Rattus norvegicus: one gene and its partners. The protein of the gene in region 5 purifies or fractionates together with the protein of the main gene of each other region. This does not show direct contact. Links are inferred from orthologs where the notes say so. Each region holds a gene or a part of one and is shown on either strand. Other genes may lie near its edges. The genes, in order: Fhl1, Notch2, Fbxo42, Rita1, Rbpj and Maml1.

What was found.
Region 1: the proteins of Rbpj (region 5) and Fhl1 purify together in Homo sapiens (affinity purification with western blotting; 4 studies listed by BioGRID and IntAct, with this or other methods). This does not show direct contact. The link is inferred for Rattus norvegicus from reciprocal best matches to the Homo sapiens genes RBPJ and FHL1.
Region 2: the proteins of Rbpj (region 5) and Notch2 purify together in Homo sapiens (affinity purification with mass spectrometry; 3 studies listed by BioGRID and IntAct, counting the BioPlex papers as one, with this or other methods). This does not show direct contact. The link is inferred for Rattus norvegicus from reciprocal best matches to the Homo sapiens genes RBPJ and NOTCH2.
Region 3: the proteins of Rbpj (region 5) and Fbxo42 purify together in Homo sapiens (affinity purification with mass spectrometry; 3 studies listed by BioGRID and IntAct, counting the BioPlex papers as one, with this or other methods). This does not show direct contact. The link is inferred for Rattus norvegicus from reciprocal best matches to the Homo sapiens genes RBPJ and FBXO42.
Region 4: the proteins of Rbpj (region 5) and Rita1 purify together in Homo sapiens (affinity purification with mass spectrometry; 4 studies listed by BioGRID and IntAct, with this or other methods). This does not show direct contact. The link is inferred for Rattus norvegicus from reciprocal best matches to the Homo sapiens genes RBPJ and RITA1.
Region 6: the proteins of Rbpj (region 5) and Maml1 purify together in Homo sapiens (co-immunoprecipitation; 12 studies listed by BioGRID and IntAct, counting the BioPlex papers as one, with this or other methods). This does not show direct contact. The link is inferred for Rattus norvegicus from reciprocal best matches to the Homo sapiens genes RBPJ and MAML1.

The regions. Positions count from the first base shown.
Region 1 is NC_086039.1:139,644,996-139,648,495, forward strand, and holds part of Fhl1 (four and a half LIM domains protein 1), read left to right. Parts: intron 1-384; exon of another isoform or gene 385-514; intron 515-1,933; coding exon 1,934-2,115; intron 2,116-3,101; coding exon 3,102-3,276; intron 3,277-3,500.
Region 2 is NC_086020.1:188,298,161-188,302,135, forward strand, and holds the start of Notch2 (neurogenic locus notch homolog protein 2 precursor), read left to right. Parts: upstream 1-1,175; 5' UTR 1,176-1,337; coding exon 1,338-1,410; intron 1,411-3,975. UniProt on the Homo sapiens protein: Functions as a receptor for membrane-bound ligands Jagged-1 (JAG1), Jagged-2 (JAG2) and Delta-1 (DLL1) to regulate cell-fate determination.
Region 3 is NC_086023.1:158,754,665-158,758,164, forward strand, and holds part of Fbxo42 (F-box only protein 42), read left to right. Parts: intron 1-217; 5' UTR 218-234; coding exon 235-484; intron 485-1,893; coding exon 1,894-2,010; intron 2,011-3,500. UniProt on the Homo sapiens protein: Substrate-recognition component of some SCF (SKP1-CUL1-F-box protein)-type E3 ubiquitin ligase complex. Specifically recognizes p53/TP53, promoting its ubiquitination and degradation.
Region 4 is NC_086030.1:41,609,748-41,613,763, reverse strand, and holds the start of Rita1 (RBPJ-interacting and tubulin-associated protein 1), read right to left. Parts: upstream 2,801-4,016; 5' UTR 2,572-2,800; intron 2,380-2,571; exon of another isoform or gene 2,377-2,379; 5' UTR 2,254-2,376; intron 2,031-2,253; 5' UTR 1,942-2,030; coding exon 1,673-1,941; intron 140-1,672; coding exon 1-139. Other genes in the region: ATP-dependent RNA helicase DDX54, read left to right, coding at 3,270-3,440. UniProt on the Homo sapiens protein: Tubulin-binding protein that acts as a negative regulator of Notch signaling pathway.
Region 5 is NC_086032.1:61,563,261-61,566,760, reverse strand, and holds part of Rbpj (recombining binding protein suppressor of hairless), read left to right. Parts: intron 1-2,982; coding exon 2,983-3,148; intron 3,149-3,500. UniProt on the Homo sapiens protein: Transcriptional regulator that plays a central role in Notch signaling, a signaling pathway involved in cell-cell communication that regulates a broad spectrum of cell-fate determinations.
Region 6 is NC_086028.1:35,121,301-35,125,278, reverse strand, and holds the start of Maml1 (mastermind-like protein 1), read left to right. Parts: upstream 1-1,178; 5' UTR 1,179-1,434; coding exon 1,435-1,770; intron 1,771-3,978. UniProt on the Homo sapiens protein: Acts as a transcriptional coactivator for NOTCH proteins. Has been shown to amplify NOTCH-induced transcription of HES1. Enhances phosphorylation and proteolytic turnover of the NOTCH intracellular domain in the nucleus through interaction with CDK8.

The DNA of each region.
Region 1 (3,500 bases), on a different chromosome or scaffold from region 5:
GGGTGACTCAAGGAGATCGGGCAGGCTTCCTTGTGTGTGTGTAGTTTGTGTCTACCTAGATACACAAGACAACATTGCATAGGGTTCTTAGAGAAAAGCACGGGCAAGGGCTAGTTTCTCATTTTCTCTATTGACTTGACAGTGATATAACTGTGCCAAGCAAAGGTCATTTTACAGAAATGTCACTCATGTACTTCCTGTGTCAGTTCTCTGACATGAGGGCCTGGGTGGTGGATGTGTCTGTCAGTGGACGTTGTGTATGTTCCATGGCCCTACTTTCCCTTGTGGAGAGAGCCTGACATAAGAGAGTGACAGTCCAAATGAGAGTTCACCAGCCTCGGCCCAAGCGCGTTCCCAGACAAAGGGTGTGGTTTCCTTAGCTCACTCTGCTATTTGGTTGCCCATGGCAGCAGAATCCAAACAACTTGGACATGTGGTTGCTTTTAAAAAAAAAAACCTGGGAATAGAACCCAGAGCAGGAGTTTGGGGCCATTCAGTTGGTGGAAGAGCTGCGGTGAGTAGCAGGCAACTGCTCATTTCTTTCTCCATTCTTTCTCTCAAGTACACGCAGGATGAATAGTTTCAGTTCAAATGGTCTCAGTTCTTGTGGTTCTAACACAAATTAAATAATTACTGTCTATTTACTTATGCAAATTCCTTTTTTAATGGGAGAAGAAAATTAGCATATGTGTAAAGAAAGTGGGACTAATAGAAACCCTTCCTGGTGGCAGGATTCTCTAGAAAAATGACTTGGCAAAGGGACCGACAGCAGAGGACCTTAGCGGGGCTCTGGGCTTCTGTAGGCTTGTTACTTAGGGTTGCCTAGGAACACAGCTGGGGTGCTGGTGGACAGTGAAGGGAGTGGAGGGAGGACGACGTTCTCGGAATGATTGGATTAGCCCTTTGCAAAAGTCGGATTTCCACATTATACTTAAAACTTCTGCTGTGGGGAACAGCGGCTATACCAAAAAGTAATACTTGCTCGGATAGGCCAGCCCTCACTGTCTGGACCCGAGAGAGATTTGACTTTAATGTGTCCCCAAACCATACTTCACTGTGACAAATCATTCATAATTGCAGAGTGTGCCCAGGCCAGGCGAGAATGCCCAGACCTCAGCCACTAGGAAACTATCTGGGACAAAACTCTCTGGGATCTTTTCAAGGAGTAAAACATTTGAAACAAGTTCATGAGGGCTGCATGTGTGCCTGGGTGGGTGGGTGGGTGGGTGGGGAATATGACTTAGCTGTTAAGTTTCTGTTTGGATTAATAGAACTGTATAGACAGGAGGGAAGTGAGACCACCTGAAAATATTTGCCCCCACCCTAAAAGGTGACAGAATATGGCGTCAGAGCTGGCAGGAAGGCTTCTGGCTTGCTGTGTGGTGGGCAGCCGTGGGAGCAGTGGTTCCATGCCCTGCTCTGCCCCATTCTTTTGAACTGTCTGTGCAAGCGAGTAAGACATCTTGTGGACCAGTGCTGTGGTGCACACAGTACACCTGCCTTGCCCAATAGTCTTTTATTTTTTCTGCTCTACCTTACCCTCCCATTCCCCTTTCCATTCTTGGTTACTTTTCAACAATGTGTGAATCTCCCAGAATCCTCCTGTGTGGTGACCTTAGCCAGCATAAGGTCTGGCCCACTTGCTCTCCTCTGAGTCAGCACAGTGATTTCTGACATGTCCCCAGGGAGTTACTGGCCCTTTGTGTGTGACACTTAAGAGTTCGAATCAGAAGCGTTTTCTTCCTGGGAGCCATAGTGAAGCATCTGTTGCTGTGACACTTGGTAATTAGCCAGGCTTAAGTGGAAGCTCCACCCTGAGGACTCGGTTTTCCTAGGTACATGCGCAGTAGTGCACTGGGACCTCCAGGGCCTCGTATGGCTGAGCATCTTTGTGGTCTCCTTACTCATTTGTTCTACTTCTTTGCCCCTATAGGTCCCTCCAGCTATAAGGTGGGCACCATGTCTGAGAAGTTCGACTGTCACTACTGCAGGGACCCCTTGCAGGGGAAGAAGTATGTGCAGAAGGATGGCCGTCACTGCTGCCTGAAGTGCTTTGACAAGTTCTGCGCCAACACCTGCGTGGAATGCCGCAAGCCCATAAGCGCTGATGCTAAGGTAACTGTTGTAGCTGATGGGGCAACGGGGCAGGCTGGGTGGGCTTCAGGTGTTTTCCTGTAGCCTTGCCAGCAGCGCTGCCATTTTGAATTCTCCTCACAGCAGCCTTGACTACTTGAGGCAGGTGTTTCTCATGTCCCTAGCTTAAAATATATATGATATGGTCTTTGGACGCGATGGTCTGTTAAGGCACTGCGAGTATAGGTTTGATAGCCTTTATCTGAAATGGCTAGCAAGAGAAGTGTTTGGCGCTTTTTTTTTTTTTTTTTGGATTTCTTATTTTATAATACTTCTCCATATTTAATGAAGGCTCTTGATAATGATACTCAAGTCTAAACCCAAAATTCATTTACATTTGTAAATGTACATATGTACTCTATGTACATAGCCTGAAGGTGATGTTATACAGTGTTTTTTAAATTAATATAATTCTGTCATTTCCCCCCTTTCCCTTTTCTCCCTCCCACCCCTTTTGAGCATTGCCCAGCTCCTGCATGCTTCCTCTCGAATTCATCCTCTCTGGCCTCCTTTTGTTGTCTGTGGAATGGCATTTATGCACTGCAGCTGAATAGACTGGAGGGTCTTACTTTCCCCAGGGACACAGAATAAACTGTGTGTTGTGCTTTGACACTGTGACTGTGCCCTGGCCCGTGAGACCAGATGTGTCCTTTTCTCCTTCTGAGATCTGTCTGTTAACCCTTAAAGCGCTTGAGATTCCGGAGCCTTTTGGATTGCAGATTTGTGATGGGGGCTTTCCCCCCACTACTCTTATGTGCTTTGGGAACTGGGAGGCTTTCGTCTTCACTACAGTACTACTCTTCCTGTTACTCCTAAAAGCACTCACCACAGGGCATCCCCGCATGGAGGGGGCTGACATTGGCGTGAGTAGTTACCTGGCCCTGGAGAACCTCGTATCTAATGGTAAGGCTGCGGCCACTGGTCCCAGTGCCCCTCACAGTGGCCACCCTGCTCTGCTTGATGTCCAGGAGGTGCACTATAAGAATCGCTACTGGCACGACACCTGCTTCCGCTGTGCCAAGTGCCTTCACCCCTTGGCCAGTGAGACCTTTGTGTCCAAGGATGGCAAGATCCTGTGCAACAAGTGCGCCACTCGGGAGGACTCCCCCAGGTGCAAAGGGTGCTTCAAGGCCATTGTGGCAGGTACTGGCCCCTCCCACCCTGAGGGCAGACATGCTGTGTGCTTGCTTGTCATGTTGGGGCTAACTTTGCTGTGAGCTGCTTTGAGATTTTAGCATATATATGTACCCATATACATACGTGTATATATATGCGTACATATATATGCTCACACACAAGCACACACTCGGAGACTAACGAACACTGGAGAGAACAGTCTGTGGCAAGAGAATGAAGTGAAAAGTATG
Region 2 (3,975 bases), on a different chromosome or scaffold from region 5:
CTTGTGCTTGCACAGCAAGCCCTCTTACCCTCTGAGCCATTTCCCCAGATCCTAAAGCACTTCTCAAAATGCAGTTTTAATGTTCACACCCATATTCACTTGTATTCTGCATTCTAGGTCACCATCTACTATGTGATAGGCACTGATGGTGACGACCATGGTCTTTGGCGGTAAAGATTTCGCAGTGTAGTTAAGACAGAAATAGATAGTCCTGTGTGGTTCATGCAATTCCTTGTAGTGGCCAGTTTCATATACTCTACAAACTCATCTATACCCAGGCTAGATCACAGTCCACACTCACGTTGGAAAGAACTAGTTAGGGTTATAGCTTTATCTGTCATTTAAAAACGATGTACACAAACAACCATAAGATATGTGAATGGTATTCTTAGAGTCTTGCTCTGCAATTTGTGTTTTCATCATCATTTTGGTTTTACGGTTGACGTATATGAAGGTGATATTTTCAGTCGTATTGCACCTCACTTATAATTACGAATTATTCACCTAGCCCCCAAGGGTGGGGCATTTAGGTCACTCTTAACTCGCAGCTATTAATAGGTTACAAAGAGTATTCTGGTTCTTACCATTTTCTACACTTTGACTAGAGTTTCAGGCTTCTGTTGTCAGGATACCTGTCTTTTGAAAGCCTCCCCTAAATTATCCTAGACCCTAGAGTGGATGATCCCAGGGTCCCAAGCATCTTGCTACAGGAAGTTCACTAAAAGAACCAAAGATGGATGGATGAATAGATGAATGAACGAAATGCCCAGAGCATCTCAAGGAATGTCCCCTTAAGAGGACTTTGGCGCCTACTTTCCGTTGACAGCCCCGTGTCTGCTCTCCCTCATTTCTCTAATCAGCCAAGGAGTGTGTGGGTGTGTGGGGCATGAGGTCTGCCTCTCTTTACAAGTTCAGGATCCGCGCAAACCCTCGCGTTTGATGTTGGTCGCTTCAGCCAACCCCTTATCGGAGCTCACGGGCGGGCCAGGCGGCCGGGCGGGCCGAGTACCAAGTGCTGTTCGCTCAGATCCCTCCGCGCGCAGCGGACCGGCGCTTCTTTCTGCGGGAAACCCCTGGGCACGCGGCGGCGACGGGGGCGGAGCCTCGCGGTGGGAGGAGGCCGAGGCGGAAGGACACGCGGGCCACTCTGCCGCGCGGCTCAGCCAGAAACTTTCAGCCAAACTTCGGGCGGCGGCCTGGCTGCGCGGAGTGCCGGGGCGGCGTAGCGGCAGCTCCTGGACTCGGCGAGCCGCGGGGGCAGGGTAGAGCACGCGAGAGCGGGGCTCCTGGTCGGGACCCGCTCCCCATGCGGATCTGCTTTGGCTGCGGCAGTGAAGATGCCCGCTCTGCGTCCCGCCGCGCTGCGGGCGCTGCTGTGGCTCTGGCTGTGCGGCGCGGGCCCCGCGCACGGTGAGTACCAGGCGCCCGGGAGACCATCCCTCTGCCACTGCGCGCTCCGGGGGCTGCGCCTTCCAAACTGCCTGGTCCGGGCCTCGAGTCTTGGCAACGCGTAGCGTCTCGGGTTCCGCGTTAGCGGGGTCTCGGGCGAGCAGCTCGCGGGCCGAGGTGCGAGTATGATTGGGAGGGCGGCGGGGGCTTGCGGCGTTCCCAACTTTTGACACCCGGATCGGTCGGTCTGTCCGGAGGAGGAGTTGGGCGTGGGGCTTAGGTCTTGGAGAGGTGGAGGCAGCAGTGGGGGAACTGGTGTGGCAGCGTGCTGAGCCACATGATTGAAAATCTCAACTGCTGTTATTCTTTCCGAGGCGCGGAGCTCGGCTGCGGTTCCAGTGTGCGTCCAGCCCCAGGAATGTGGTGTGACGATCCCCAACTCCTCCGACCTGGCAGCAGCTTGCTGCTCTTTTGGCACCGTTGGGGGTGGGGCAGGGGCGGGGGCAGGCGAGGAAAAGTGGAGACAGTGGTTGATTCGTAGCGCTTGCTTAGAAAGGCTCGTTATGGTGGGATATTCCTTGCCCCCTCTCTAACACGGTGGGAGCCAGGAAAGGAAATCGAATCATACTTTGCCCATTCCACCCACATCTTTAGATCTTACGTTTCTTTGGAATGTTGTATGGAAAGAACTTTGGAGCCCAGCTCTGTAATCCTGGATTCAAATCTGCTGTATTAACTCACCAATAAAATGGGGATGAAATTACCCAGCTAATAGGATTAATTAAAAGAATGTATATTAAACCCGTAGCGCTTAAAAGATATTGAGAAAAGTTCTTTTAGGACAGGGGCAGCGGTTTGGTCTTTCTGGGTGAAGTTTGTGCTTCCAGTGGGGAGTATGACTTGTACACAGTGTTCGATGAACTGGTAGGGTCCTCCTTTAACTCAAGAACAGTTAGCTTTTTACCAGAAAACCCCTACGACATCTTTTTCAGAGAAAGGATGAGTTTCAGAAAAATCCGGGCTTTGTTCATTGTAGCAAGCAGCGGACATGCCAATTCCAGATGCTTTGAGGACTCGATTATTTATCACCTGCAAACAGTGCTGGCTTGTTCAGCATCAACCAGATACTTTTTGAAAAGTTCAAATGACTTACATTGCTGGGTCCGCAGGTTGTCAGAAGTGGACCAAGGAGCCTGTTTAGGATGAACGGTTTCCAAGACTTTTCCTAAAAACTCAACGATGGCATTTTGCCTTACCCTTTTTCTTTGAATGAAGCTGTTAGCCCTAAGTGTAGATTTAGGGTAAAGAGGTGTATAATTAGTGTGATTTTTCTGAGGATTACAGTGCTTGGTTCCCCCGTGACTTGTTTTACACAGTAAATAACTTTAGTCTTCATGATCTGTGTCTTTCCCTTATGAAAGAGGATTAAAAGCATAACTTTTTTTTTTTTCTGAGTACTTTGGGGACTAATACCTAGGGCCGTAAAGAGACTCACCAGTCACTGGCAACAGAAACAGGATGAGGCTGGTCCATGGGCTTTCCTGACGTGTTGAACCCCAGTGCATTCAACTGATGCCCCTGCTTCTGCTCTTGCTGGCCTTTACTATCCCTGGGGGTCAAGTTGAGTGTTAGTCCAGCTGGCTCAAATTTAGGTATTTTGGGTTTTAGACAGATGTTCTTTAGATGCTAAACTATTCTCATAAAAGAGATTAAAGAGTTCGTTGCTGTTGCAAATCTTAAATCTTCCCAGGGTCTAGCAGGGAAGCTTCCTAATCTATTATGGGGGTATTTTGCCAAGGTACCAATTATAACTCTCCCTCCCTAACTTTTGAGTGTTCCCATGTTTGGCTTGTGGCCAGTTGTTAATTTGAACATCACTGATTCCTAAGGCAAGGAGCTGTCAACCCATCTGTGTGAGCTTCTGAACGGCTCTGGACCACCCCTTACTTTTGTTTTTTCTTTGCTCTGCAGTGGGAGTGATTCCCTGGTTTTACTGTCACCTAGACACTTTGTCAGTTGAATCCCTATCACAAAAGAGCAAGCTTTTTTCCTTTAGGGTGAGATGAAATTCACCCTGTAACTATTTCCCGTTTTTCTTTCTTGGAGGGAGGAGGGAGCGATTGGTTACAGAATCTCTCATTTTATGGTGTTTGAAAAATATATACCGGTATTTTGTTGGGATCTCTTTTCTTCCTCCTCTGTGGATTTGTGTTGCCCAGAGGGGCAGCCTTGGCTCACCCAGGCTGTCACTGATTTCAGGACCTTTAAAGAATGTCTAAGTGCAGTGGGATATGCTTCGATGCTTGAGAGCAACCTTACAATACATTTTAAAAATATCACACCCACAGAAATTTTATTTTGCCCACAAAATTTGCATTGATCTAGTTCCCACTCTGCCATTCCTGGTGACCTTCCTCCCTGCCCCTTCCATTGTGGAGGCCAAGAGCTAGCTGCATGTCCTGGCTGCAGCAGACCCATTGCTGTGGGCCCTACACTCAGCACCCTTGTGTTCTGACACAGGAGGCCTGAGAATCTGTAATAATAATAATAATAATAATAATAATAATAATAATAATAAAAGGCTTT
Region 3 (3,500 bases), on a different chromosome or scaffold from region 5:
TTTAAGATTATATGGGACTTGTGTGCCATTCTAGGGGGAGGGAGGATGCTATGGGCTTGGCATTTGAACTCCACCTATCAAATTAATATGGACCCAACCAGTATGGGAAGGTGTGGAGCAGTTTCATGCTGTGCGAAGGGGACCATGAGCAACTCAGGGGCTCAGTGTTTGTGTGCTTCTGCAGGCTGTACACTGATGTTTACTTCTTACCCTCTAGAGCTTCAAGTGTGTGTCATGGCCAGCTCCTCAGACAGTGAAGATGACAGTTTCATGGCCGTGGACCAAGAAGAAACTGCACTGGAAGGGACAATGGAGCAAGATGAGGACCCACACCCAGTATTGGAGGTTGAGGAAACAAGACATAATAGGTCCATGTCTGAGCTGCCAGAAGAGGTTTTGGAGTATATCCTGTCCTTCCTCTCACCATATCAGGAACACAAAACCGCAGCTCTGGTCTGCAAGCAGTGGTATCGGCTTATCAAAGGTACAAGTGTTTCAAAGAGGTGTGTGTGTGTGTGTGTGTGTGTGTGTGTGTGTGTGTGTGTGTGTCTGTCTGTCTGTCTGTCTGTCTGTCTGTCTCTGTGTATGTACATGTGTGCAGGTGCCTATGGAGGCCAGGAGAGAGCATCAGATCCACTGGATCTTGAGTTACAGGATCTGTGAGCCACCTGTGTGGGAGCTGGGATTGAACTCTGTCTCCTACAAGAACAGCGAGAGCTCAACCACAGAGCCCTGGCTGTGTCCATTCTTAGTGAGCAGTTTAGCTTTAGACTCCTCCCTCCCTGTCTTCTCTCCCTTAAAGACATTGTATTTAAAGAGTTGAATTTAGTATTAGATAAGTTAACACAGTTTTCTTCCTGTCTTGGTTAATTTATGAACAGCTAGAATACTAATTTAGTATTTGCATCTATATCCGTGTTTTATGTACAATGCCTGGTGCTTGTGGAGGTCAAAGAGGGCATCAGACCTCCAGAACTGGAGTTACAGATAGCCGTAGGCCTGGTAAGTGTGTCTGTTAACCGTGACTGTGTATATATGTATGTGTTGTATGTACTCGTTAGTGTGAGTACATGTATGTGAACGTATGTGTGTGGCCACCAGAGGTTGACTTTTAGTGTCTTTCCTCAATTGCTCCTGATCTTCATTTTTTTAAAATATTTTTTAATCCCCATTTCTAGTGGGGATAATGGAGATATTTTAATATATGCTTAAATATAAAGGAAGAGAGAGAGGTGTGCTGGACAGGTGGCTTAACATGGCACGTGGCTTTAATCCCAGCCCTCAAGAGTTCACGGCTGGATTTTGTGAACTTCACATAGGTGCTAGGAATCGAACTCAGGACCTCAGGAAGAGCAGCCAGTGCCCTTAACCACTGAGCCATCTCCAGCCCACTCAAGCTCTTAACCTTTAAGAGACAGTTCTTAGACATAGTCAACATCTCATAACCTGTTACGTAGTAATCTACTTATATGATCTCGCTTAACTGGAGAATTCTGATTGTTGTGATCCAACCGCAGATGCTTTTTAAGCAGCTGTTGTGCTGTAGACAGTGCTTTGTCGTATTTCTTCGCAAAGATGAGTCATTTCTCAGCCCCTCTGCTTTGCAGTAAAGGCCACCAGTTTCTTTATTGCCTCGTGGTAAACATGAGGACAAGGATGATCACGTGACCTGATGCAGTAACTCTCTTAACTGTCTATGGCTTGATAAAAGCAGTTCTTTCCATTTTGACATTCCTTGATTGTTTCCTTTCTTTGAACAAAAATGAGAAATTTCGACTTCCTCAAAACATTTATGACATACACTGTGATACAACAGTTTAAAAAGACAATTGTAATGATTTCCCCTTTGAAGTTAGTATCTAAGCTGATGCCTTTGGTTTTTCTCATCTTTAGGTGTAGCCCACCAGTGTTACCATGGTTTCATGAAGGCTGTCCAGGAAGGAAACATTCAGTGGGAGAGCCGAACTTACCCTTATCCCGGAACCCCCATCACTCAGCGCTTCTCCCACAGTGAGTACCCATGGTGACAGAGCAAGTCCCACACTGCCTGTGCTGTGTTTCTAGAAATGGTCTTGGAGGCATGCCTTTGTCTGGCTTTTTTTTTTTCTTTTCTTTTTTTTCGGAGCTGGGGACCAAACCCAGGGCCTTGCGCTTGCTAGGCAAGCGTTCTACCACTGAGCTAAACCCCTAACCCCCTTTGTCTGGCTTTTAAGTGAAGAGACGGTAAAGTGAGAGTTCCTAACAGAATGAGGAAGAAGTGAGTGTGGACATGAGGTACGGCCTGATGGAGAACTCAGCGGCACAGGGCTTGCCCAGGAAGGCCCAGGTTCAGTTCCGTCCCTGACACCCTGACAGATACAGTGCTAGGGCTTGTTAATGTTACATTATGCTGTTTAATTTGACTGTACTCCTGCTTCAGCTCCTGAAGGTGATGGTTTCGGGCATGTGCCACCATCCCTGTCTAGAGTTTGAGCTTTTGGTAGGAAGGAGCATGTATTGGTTACCCAGGCCATAAAAAAGCAGCCCTAAAACGTAGCAGTTTAAACAGTATTTCTTACCTGTTCTTGAAGGTCTGAGATTTGGAGATGGTCATGATTTCTGATTTAGAAGTGTCATTGAGAGAGGCCTAAGGGGTTTTTTGTTTGTTTTTTAAAGATTTATTTATTTCATGTATATGAGTACACTATCGCTGTCTTCAGACACACCAGATCCCATTACATGTGGTTGTGAGTCACCATGTGGTTGCTGGGAATTGAACTCAGGACCTCTGACCACTGAACCATCTCTCCAGCCTGTGGCCTAAGGTTTTTGTTTTTTGTTTTGTTTTGTTTTGTTTTGTTTTTTCTTTTCTATTTTTCGGAGCTGGGGACCGAACCCAGGGCCTTGTGCTTGCTAGGCAAGCGCTCTACCACTGAGCTAAATCCCCAACCCCTGGCCTAAGGTTTTTACTGATAGAACCTGTCACACTGTCAGCTGCTTACTGTATTACTGAGAGGGTGTCTGAGACAGAAGCTAGAGTAGTCTTCACAATCTCTGAACTAAGTGCATCTCTTCTGTTCTATTTTCTTGGTCACACAGAGATTGACAGGAGTTGTAAACACCAGGAGGTGAGGCTCCTCAGTGCCACCAGCCCCCAGATCTTTTGCTATACTTGTCTGAAGATGTTCAGAAATAGTTAGGACTTGTTTCTTGCTTTGGTGTTGGATGAAAGTAGACCAAGGAGACAGATGAAGGGAGCTACCCATTCACTAATGCTGCTCAGGGGGGGACACCTATGAGCCCTCCATGGGACTTGATGAAATCAGAACTGTGAGTGTGTGACAGTGAAGAACGCTGGTGTGTGACAGTGAGGGCTGGCGAGATGGCTCAGCAGGTGAAGGGGCTTGCTGCTGTCATTACCTGAGTTCCATCTCTAGGAGCCACATGGTGGAAGAAAGCCAACTCCTGCTGGTTGTCTGTTAACTGAGAGTTGTCCTCTGACCTCCACACTTATACTGTGG
Region 4 (4,016 bases), on a different chromosome or scaffold from region 5:
GGTGGCTGGTGGGGTCCAGAAAAGGGTCCGGAGCTTGGCCGCATCCTCCACGGCTGTCCGAGACCTCTCCTTGCTGGTGCCCTGTGGCCGGGAGCCAAACAGTGACTCATCACAGTAGGATGGGGTGTGGCCAATCAACCTGGAAAAGAGAAGGGCAATGACCTTAAAGCCCTCTACAACCTCACTGCCCACCAGACACCAAAGCAGCAGAACCGGACTTATTCTTTAATACAGGTATCAGCCCAAAACAGCTTGGGGCTTCTCTGTCTCATCTCCTAGAGAGGGGAGCAGTCCTAAGAGGAGCACCTCATATGAGCCTCACCATCGAGAGTCCCGATATGGTCATTCATTGATATGGTGGAGGTGGGGGAACAGGGTAGGCCACTCCAGCCCCCTCTGCCCCGCCCCCCCATGAATCTCTATCCGTACACGCTCAAGTCTTGTGCATCAAATGACAGACACCCTCCTGAATCTGCTCGGCTCCAGATTAATGGAGCAATTAGGTCCATTAAGTGCTTCATAAACAGAAGTAGCAGACACTTGTTTAGGGACAATAGGAACGTGGGCCAGCAAGATGGCTCAGTGGGTAAGGGTGCTTGTGGCCAAGACTGACAGCCCGAGTTTTGATCCTCAGGCTCCACATGGTAGAAGGAAAGAACTGACTCCTATAAGTTGTCCTTTGACCTCTACCAGTATACGCCCCCCAACCCAAAAACAGCCAAATACAATTGTACCTTTTTCAAAAAAGTCCATATGAGCTCAATAGAGATACATTTTTTTCTTTGGTTGAATAGTTTTTTCCCCCAAAAAATCTCCTTTGAAGATTTTTAAAAATTTTTATTATTATTGTCCTGTGTATGGTGTGGGTATGTGTGTGTGTATGCAGACAGAGGCGCACAAGTGGAGGTCAGAGGTCAACTCTGGAGTCAGTTCTCTTCCACCTTTATGAAGGTTCCAGCAATCCTAGGCCACCAGGCGCTCGAGGCAAGAACCCTTCCCCACTGAGCCGTCTCACCAGCCCACACCACCGTTCATCCAGACCTTCCCAAGCACCGGTTGCTGTGCCAACATTGCCCCAAGTCTCATTTAACAGCGACACTCATCCCATGTGCCATGAGGAAACACACGGCTCAGAGAACCAAGGCGCTTGGCCATGGCCACACAGCAGGTCCCTAGCACTCAGTCCCAGGAGGCCTGACAGCTACTCTGATGGTCAGTTTCAACTGTCAACTTGGCAGGATCTAGAACCACGGAGAGCGGCCCGCAGAGAGTGATCCGCTAAGTCAGGCTGGCCCTCGGGCATGCCTACGACAGGCCTTCCCTTTAGCACTGGTGTTTAATGTGCATGCGCACCCACAGGCAAGTCCGTGTGCACCATGTGGGGTGTCAGATGCACATGCCCCAGATGTCAGAAGAGGTGGGTCACATGCCCTGGGACTGAAAGTAAGAGAAAGTGCTGAGCAGCAAACACACAACATGACCAGCCATCTCCACCCCACACTGCTGAGACTTCTTATAACTACGGAGAGCCACTCAAGCCGTCTGTGAGCCAGAATAAACCCTTTCTTGCCCAAGTTTCTTCTGCCAAGAGTATTTCATCAGGGCAATCAGGAAAGGGACCAAGACGGCCACCCTCAGTACAGGAGTGCAATGCTACCACCCCCAACCTTACCTGTATTTGTTTTTCTTCCTTGGTGTGAGATTTGGGGTGCTGCCCCTGGAGGAGGGAGACTCACAGTCTCTCTTGGCCAGAGAGACCTTCGGGGGTCCTGGGCTCACTCCTCTAGATCTGTTACAATTCTGCACCCAGGGTGGGTCAAAGTCTGGTAGAGTTGGCCGGGTTCCTGTTGGGCTGCCAAACAGGGTCTCATCCACATAGGATGCCCTGGCCTTGACCCGGTAGCTGCGCGGGTTGCGGTGCTGAAGGTGGAGTGCCTGCATTCCGACGCTGGGCCAGTTCCACCTCCACCGGGGTCTTCAGGCTGCCCAGTGGATTTACTGTGCCTGCCAGATTCAGCCTCCAGGGCTCCCTGGAGGGTCAGAGTGAGCTAAGGGCAGGGCCAAGTAAGAGTAGCTTCTTGCAATAACAAACCCAAGGGCAAAGGGGGCTTTTTCTTGCTGAGGGAAAGCGACTGTTGTTCAGTGGGCACCTCGGAAATGCTTCACTTTCTGGCCCCTCCCCTACCCGGTTTCAGTAGCCCAAGGTGGCCTGAAACCCATTATATTGAAGTCTATTATATAGCCAAGAATGACCTTTAACTCCGGATCCTCCCGCTTCTACTTCCCACGAAGAACTGCACGACCGCCTGGCGTCTGAGGTGCATGGGTTCGAACCCCGTGCTTTGTGCATGCCGCAGGCTAAGCAGGCACTCCTGTCTTCTTAGTTGTGACAGGGGGAAATGCCGTCAGCAAATATTTAATGAATAAATAGATACACAATTATAGCCTACAGTGTATGCTCAACAAATATTTATAGAACGACTATGGGCGTGCAGGGGAATGGCACCAGACAAACTAATTACGGTGGAAGAGGGAAAGGGGCTCCCAAGCCACTGTCGCCCCCATGCCTACCTTGTGCAAAGCGCTTTGCAAGCGTGGTGCGTTCTAGTCCTCGCCAACCGGTCCTTCAGATTAAATCCATTTTCCCCAATTACAACTCAGGCTCCAAACAGCGGAGTAGCACACACCAGACAGCTTACAAAGCGGAAAGCGCAGGCGTCCCGGGAATTTCATGCTAGGAGCTTTTCCTACTGGGACCTCTGGCCAGCAAGCATAATCTTCGCCACAAATGCCCGCATAGCACAAAATCCGCAGCCGCGCCCCGGCGACACGCGCCCACATACAGCCCTTGCTGGGCAACAGGAGTGAAGCCCCGCCCCTGCGCACTGGTACATCCCGCCCTCGCGCTGATGGTACGTTCCACGGGCCACACCCCCTCTCATGCGTGCATCCATTGGGCCCCGCCCTGGGGGGCTGCCCTGCGTAGTTGGTACATTCCTCAAAGCTTCCACACGTTGAGTTGTATGTTCCTGAGGCTCTGCTCTCTCCACATCTATCCTAACTATTAGCGTTTGGTGTCCTTGCAAATTAGTAGGTCTCCTAAGCGCCTATCACTGTTCAGTTGGTACAATCCGCCCCCACTAGTTGGTATGTCCCTCAGGCCCCGCCTCTGCCCGGCTGGTACAACTCTTAGGCCCCGCCTTCGTCCCCGACGCCACTCATGCGTCCCACAGGCTCCGCCCTCTTCCGGGTCCGAGTGCCCGGCCCGCATGGCTGCCGGCAGACGTGTGGGGCTTGGCCCGCGGTCGCATCCCGCCATGGCTCCGTGGAAGAAGAAGAGGCTGCGGAAACGCCGAACTGGGGCTTCCCAGGCCCGCGACAGCGATTCGGAGGACGGCGAGTTCGAGATCCAAGCAGAGGATGACGCCCGGGCGCGGAAGGTAATAACGCGGGGGTCCTGGTCGGGCCCTCGGCCTGCGCCCTTCCGCCCGTCCGTCTCACTAATCGCGGGCCCTTATTGGGTCTCTTCGCGTAGGGGGCGGGGTCCAGTTTATACAGCCAATAGAAAGTGCATGTGCGGAAGGTCCGCCTGAGTTTTGGGCGGTCTTAGATGGTAAAATTAAAGGAGAGACCGGACCACACTTCTGAGAAGCGGGTTTTAAACTAACCTAGTATTTACGGACTTTTGTGGTGCTTCAACTGTGCAAGGCTCATCAGCACTGACAGAGGGGACAGCAGGATTGAAACTGGGGATGGTCTTGGTTCCATATGTAGCCATTTGGGGAGACAGGCGTGAGCGCCAAGTGGAGCCGAAAAGCCTACCGTTCACGATGCCCGTCGTCTTGTGCTTAGCGGGTATCTCTAGTTCTCCATTTCTCCTTCCCAGCTCAGTCAGTAAATTAGGTGGTCAGTAAATGTGCAAACACTGCTAGAGGCAATGAGAAGGCATGTGTTCATCGGCAAATACAATAAAGCTGCTCACGTGGTTCAGACCAAGGGTTTTGCTGAGGCTCAGC
Region 5 (3,500 bases):
GTAGAATTGTGATCTGTGTGGTGTTTTTTGTTTGTGGGTTGTTTTGGGTTTTTGTTTTTTGTTTTTGTTTTTGTTTTTGTTTTTTGGGTCAGGATATATCCCTATAGCCTTGGCTATGCTCTTCTGGAACTCACTGAGTAGACTAGGCTGGCCTCAGACTCACAGAAATCTGCCTTCCTTGCCTGTGAGTAAAGGCATGTACTACTAATGCCTGGATTTGATCAGAGTTTTAGATAGCTATATATAAACAATTATTTTGACTAATAATGCTGTTAATTTCCTTTGTTTTTTTAACTGTACTTCCATGAATATTTTAATATTTGTTCCTTTATCATTTCTGTGTACATATAGCCTTCAGATGCGAAATAAAAGTACATTTTGTGATAATATATTAATCAGTAATATCAAATCATTCAGGTTTGATAATACTAGTTCACCAATGAGTTTTAATATTCAGTGCCCAATAAAACACTAAGATGGGAATGAAGTTCCTGAGAAGGTATTGGCCTAGGTGCTTGAGATGTGCCATGCTGTGTATTTGGTAGCCACTGTAAGCCTGAAAGATCCCTGGTACAGAAGTAAACTGAACCAATTACAAAACATGCCCAGCCAGTATAAGCATCTCTACACGTGGAATGACCTGGACCTGGACCCAGTACCTGGACCATGACCTTGATATTCTTAGCTTCGAGTGTGAGCATGCAAGCATGAACGCTCCTCTTGTTCTCTGTTGCTTAATTAGATATTACAGAAATACCGCAGAGGCTTCCTACTCGCTCCGAACGAACTCTTTCCAGGACACACTTGGGCTGCTCAACCTTTTTTGCCTCAGACTTCCTTGCCATGGTTGATCCCCTTCTAACCAGCCACTGCTTCTGTGCTTTGTCTTCCTTTATTTTAAATGCCACAAGTTACCTCCGTAAGGATGTTTTCCCTGGCTGCCTCAGACAGTCCATATATATATATTTATTTATTTTTTTGGTTCTTTTTTTTGGAGCTGGGGACCGAACCCAGGGCCTTGCGCTTCCTAGGTAAGCGCTCTACCACTGAGCTAAATCCCCAGCCCCAGACAGTCCATATTTTAGCCACCCTATCCTGACTTTTTTTGTAAAGCCAGGATTCTTACTACTAGCTAACAGAGTCTCTATTTTTATATTAACTTTATACCCACCCCCATCCCCGCCTCTTGTTAGTTAAGTTCCATGAGAGCAATTTTGTTTGATGTTGCTGGTTTCATTATATTCCTGGCACCTGGGGGTATAATAGGTATTTGAAGAACTAATAAACACTGAATCATTTCAGCTTACTTCTTGTACATTATATGTGTCAGTTATGTAAAAGCTCACCTGATCAGGGTTGAGTAAAGAAGGTGCTGGTACCTTTGGAGGCAGTTGAGTTCATGTTCTTCTTGGTTTGCTGAAGACGCACACTGCGTATATCCTCACAGACCCGAGACTGTGAGGCACAGGCAAATGTTCTGTTCGTTTGTTTATTTGCTTGTGTGTTTGTTTATCTGTTTTTCTAGCTCTATCTCTATAGTTCTGACTATCCTGGAGCTCACTGTGTAGACCAGACTGGCCCCAAATTCACAGAGCTCTGCCTGCCTCTGCCTCCAAGTGCTGGAATTCAAGGCATGCACCACCATGCTCAACAACACAATTTACTTTTCTTAGTCTGGGGTTCAGGTAAAATTTGACTCCCAGTATCAGTTGACTAGAAGATGTCACTGGCCAGTAGTAGGCCCATGTGCTCATGATTCTGCAGTGTAAGTTAGTACATATCCACATGCGTGGCCATCTTCCCCTGTTACTTTCTTATAATTGGAACTTATTGACTATTGTTACAGTTAGGCTCTTTTGCTTATAGTAGGATTAGCAGAATCAAGAAACACTTATGTATTTATAACTATACAAAAAGTAGGAATTACCAAGAGGGCCTTTTGTTTTAAGAAAGAGGGGAAGAAGGACGGTAGTTCTTTGAGTGAAGATACTTCTACATGTTAACTATACACCTGTTCACCATTTATACTGTTTGCCTGGTCACTAGTCATTTGAGGGGTTGGGGATTTAGCACAGTGAGCGGTTGGGGATTTAGCTCAGTGGTAGAGCGCTTGCCTAGCAAGCGCAAGGCCCTGGGTTCGGTCCCCAGCTCCGGGAAAAAAAAAAAAAAAAACTAGTCATTTGAGTCTTCAGGCCTCTCTAGAAAGGGACAGGACACAACATTTAAGGTATGTACATATCAGTGGGTGTCATTAGGCAGAAGTATATTACATTATCATTGGACAAGTACATTCTGCCCTACATAAGAGATAAATCCATAGTTCCATTGTTAGGTTATAACAAAGTCATTGTATGTGGAGAGAACTTGAGGATGCTTTTTGGGACACAGATGAACAAGTCTGTTGGTAGTCATGAGCTGAAGAAATACGGTGTGTTGTTCTTTTGGTCCAAGAAGTTTCTCAGTCCTGAAAGCAGGTGTTCAGGGGCTAAGGTACATGAAACACGGGCTCTTTATGGAACTCACATCAAGCAGTCTTTTGTCTTTTCCTTAGTTGTCTTACTTGTGATGTTACTTTAATGCTATTTTCCAGGTGAATTGCCAAATAATGTAATATGACAAGAATAGCATTAAAGTTAATGATGCTGTTGTCTTGGCTAGAACTTAGTAATCACAGATTCTGTAGTGATCTATTATGTTTTGTGCCTTGTTTGCCAAATTTCAGTAGAGTAGAGCCTTGAGCTGTAAGAATTCAAAGTTCTGCTTAAAGCAGAACTAATCTAACTAGTGGTCTAAGTCCTCAGTTTTTATTAGAACAGATTAAAAAAAGTTTATTTCAGTCCTTTTGACATGATTTGCTTTATAAATGACCAAAATGTTTTGTAAGGAACCAATTTAGTATATTTAAATATGATTTTGAATTCATATTTGTTAAAAAATGAAGTATGATCTTGAATTTAATTTTTCTGCCATTTTTTCCCCCAGATTTTTTTGCCCTCCTCCTTGTGTGTATCTTATGGGCAGTGGTTGGAAGAAAAAAAAAGAACAAATGGAACGAGATGGTTGTTCTGAACAAGAGTCTCAACCCTGTGCATTTATTGGAATAGGAAATAGTGACCAAGAAATGCAGCAGCTGAACTTGGAAGGGAAGGTAAATTCAAAACATACATTCCGCGTTCATTCTTGCGGTATTTATTTTAGTTTTTTTTCACACCAGTGTTTATTACACTTAATGTGTATATCAGAATCACAAAGACACCTTCAGGATGGCTGTGGCCTGGTGACTCATAGAGTGCATAGGCAGCACCAGAGCTGGAGAGATGGCTCACTGCTTAAGAGCACTGGCTGCTCTTCCAGAGATCCTGAGTTCAATTCCCAGCAACCACATGGTGGCTCACAACCATCTGTAATGGGATCTGATATGCCCTCTTCTGATGTGTCTGAAGAGATCAACAGTGTACTCATATACATAAAATAAGTAAATAAAGGCAGCAGCAGGAGGC
Region 6 (3,978 bases), on a different chromosome or scaffold from region 5:
CAGCCTCATACAGTATGTTCCAGGCAAAAGTCTGGGGTACCTGACACTAAAAGTTTAATGGCTGGGTGTACTTAGTAGTAGTGGCACTATATGCATGAGGCCCTGGATTCAGCCTTCCAGCACTGCACACAAAAGTTGTTTACACTTAGCTTGAGTGCTAATTGTAATGTTTGGGTACCGGTAAGAAGCAGTGCTCATTTATCTTTGCAACTCCCTTCACCAAAGGGAGTTTTTATTTTGTTTTTATTTTTACTGCATTTGTATAAAAACATTTTGCTGTTAGCTTTTTTTCTTGTGATTTTAAAAATAAAATTTTCGTGAACTCCAGTAAGAGGTAACATGTTTGACTGGCTAATGAGGTCTTAAGTGCAAAGCCTCCCAATCATCTATGGCAGTTTGCTCCTCAGTAACCATCTAGAATATGTTTTGGTCCTTTCCTGGCTTTTTACCTTCACTCAATTGCTTGCTAGTGACATCTCTGGAACCCAGTGCTTTGGATTGAATTTTGAGTGATTTAGTTTTATAAATCAGTCGGTTTTAAGTGTATGTTCCTGTGGATCTAAATAACTCTAGTTCCCAATAGGAGGCTAAAGACCATTTAGTGCTCTCCACCCCACCCCCCACTTTAAGTAATGAGATATTGCTCACAGTACCTGTCAGTGATTCCTATCTCTACTAGGTCACTGAAGCTCAAAACAATTCTGATCAATTAGTGATTCCTATCTCTACTAGGTCACTGAAGCTCAAAACAATTCTGATCAATTACAGGGCTGTATGTAAGGAATGAGGTCAGAAATGGCTGGCTTCGAAATATTCTGGATAGACTAAAAAGATAGCATTGAGCATCTGAGTCTTAAGGCTCACTTACTTACCCCGCGTTCCTCACGAACCCGGAAGGGACTGCCTTCAAGGGGGCGGTGTTCTGAAAACGTGGCTCCTCTTGGATAGGTTCCTGTCAGTCACAGTACACTCTGCTACGCTGAGCCCGCCTCGGGGCTTCCCTCCTAGCCTGAGTGTTCAGTTTAAATACCCGAAGATTCCTGACGTGCTTTTCCCCCCACGCCCTCCGGCAGCGGGTTTGGTTTGATTGGCTATAGCTCGGGTCCATCAGCAGTGACGCAGAGTTCGCCGGCCCAGGCCCCGCCCTCTTCCGAAAGCCCCGAAAACAATTTTAAGATGGCGGCGGCAGCGGCGCGGAAAACAATGGGGCAGGGGTATAGCGGACAGGCCGAAGCCTGAGGCGGGCGGTGTTCGCTGGCCTGGAATCGGGCCGAGCGGGACCGGAGGAAGACCCGCCACCGCGCCCGAGTCTGCTCCACAGCCCACCCGGACATGGCGCGGCCGTGAGGCGGATCCGGGCCGCCAAAAGCGGAGGAACCCGAAGTGCCAGCCGGCGCCGGGAGGCCCGGGCCGGGCCAGCGCCGCCCGCGGCCCATGGTGCTACCCACCTGCCCCATGGCGGAGTTCGCGCTGCCGCGGCACAGCGCGGTCATGGAGCGCCTCCGCCGACGCATCGAGCTGTGCCGGCGCCACCACAGCACCTGTGAGGCCCGCTACGAGGCTGTGTCTCCCGAGCGCCTGGAGCTCGAACGCCAGCATACCTTTGCCCTGCACCAGCGCTGCATCCAGGCCAAGGCCAAGCGCGCCGGCAAGCACCGGCAGCCGCCCGCCGCCGCCACGGCCCCGGCAGCCGCTCCGGCCCCCGCCCCGGCCCCAGCGGCTGCGCGCCTGGACTCAGCGGACGGCCCGGAGCACGGCCGCCCGGTCGCGGTGAGTAAGGCTGGCGCCTGCCACAGCAGTACTCACTCCCGAAAACGCCTCTTCCGGCTCGGATCGGGCCTCGGGGAAACTTCCCCGAGCGCCCCCATTTCTTAGTCTGGGTCCTGGGAGGAGGCTAACATGGCAGGGCGCTTGTCATCTTCGAGAAGTGGCACTGCGGTGTACTTTTTGGGAAAACGTCCCCGTGAGGACTTTGAGCGAAGTCGGGGCTGGAAAAGCAGGAGAAGGTTAGTTGCTGATAGGCTTTTCTCCCAAACGATTTCCAACTGATGAGAACTTCGACTCGTGTTGGAGTTGCCTAGGATATAGGGCGTTCTTGCACCTTAGGCCTGGCCTCAATTAATCTGCCGATGTTGATTGGATCTTTGCTTCGTGGAGGTTAGTTAAGGCTTTAATGTGGAAATAAGTCTCCCTTCAGTTGACAGTATCCTGCGGCTTCTGAATAGAAAATCGAAAAGCCTTTGGAAGCTTCAGTAAACTGAAGTGCATAAAAGGCATTCTTCCCCCACCCCCTAAAGGGAATTTGCGAACGCGAGATTCCTGCTATACTATTGACAGTTCCAAATTTAACCTACTAAGCTTGTTAAAAACTTCTGATAATATTAATAGTTGTTAACGGAGGAAATGACGTTACTTGTTGGTCAGCTGTGCCCTTTGGGTTTTAGTTGCTAATCCTGAGATTTATTGGTTAGAAGTTTTGACTCCCTGAAACTGATTTATAAACCGGAAACCTGTTTGGAGGGGGAGGGGCAATGGGTGTTACAAAATTCTTGGTAAAGTTTAAAAGTCAAATTTTACAACACTTAAGTTGTTCGGTAATTCTAATTCATGTCTTCATAGTCTCTCACTTGGTCCGTTGTAAAACTCTTTCCTAACTAATGGTTAGTCTTTCAGTCACTTAATACGCTTCCTCTGAAATGTTAGAAACCCTTCTGTGGCTGGAGGGAATTGAGTTAAATCTTTGGTTGGCTTTCGGGACCAGCTTGACCTAGCCTATCTTTCCATGTGCCAAAGAGCTATTGTTTCCCTTCTTCCCCACACTATACCCACTGCAGGGCGAGAAGTCAGAAGAACACTTGGGTTCTGACCCAGCTGCTCGAGTCTTTTCATCCTCACTTTCCCCGCCTGTACATCCAGGGTATGTTGGGCTTCTTACTAGTTTTCTTGAAGGAATCAAATGAGTTTGAGGTTAGGTGTGGTGATTCACGCCCAGAGGCAGGAGGAAAGAAGACATGAGTATGGATGTGAGCGAATTTCTCAAACTAAAAGGCTGCCTGCAGAGTTTTTGTCAGCATTTTCAGGATCCTGCCATCCTTCCTGCCACAGCCCATCTTCTTTTGCAGTTTCTGAAAAACCAGCCCACAGTAGAATCTCCTCTCTCAATACAGTTATGAGATATATGTGTATATATATATATACATAGCTATATATCTATCTGTATGCTTTTTTGTTGTTGTTTGGTTTGCTTTTTTTTTTTTTTTTTAAGACAGTTTCTCTGTGTGCCCTAGCTGTTCTGGAACTCACTCTGTAGACCAGGCTAACCTCAAACTCAGAGATCCACCTGCCTCTGCCTCTGGAGTATTGGGATTAAAGAGGTACACCACCACTGCCCAACTTACGCCCTTTGTTTTTAGCACATAGTCACATATTACTTCAACCATCCTGTGTCTTGACAAGTAGACTGTAAGCTTTGGACCCTGAGAAGGCTTGGGCTAAGTTCCATTCATATTTTTTTTTCCTTTTTTCTTTTTTTTTTTTCGGAGCTGGGGACCAAACCCAGGGCCTTGCGCTTGCTAGGCAAGCGCTCTACCACTGAGCTAAATCCCCAACCCTCCATTCATATTTTAGGCCATCCATATACTTGTTGATAACCAACTTGGGTGTGCTTTACCCAAAATGACTTAACTGAATGAGTCACCTTACTAACCAATCTTTCTTGAAAGATCTCCACCTTCGCCCCAATCCCTTTGGGGGATTGAGCATAAGACATTGTACTTATTGTTTGTCTTAGTTGGGGTGTCTATTGCTATGAGGAGAGACCATGACCACAGCAGTTTGATTGGGGCTGCCTTACAATTCAGAGGTGGGAACCATGGTGGCAATGCAGACAGACATGGTGCTGGAGAGGAGGCTGAAAGTTCTACATCTAGATGTATAGGCAGCAGGAAGAGAGAGTGACACTGGGCCTGGCTTGAGCAT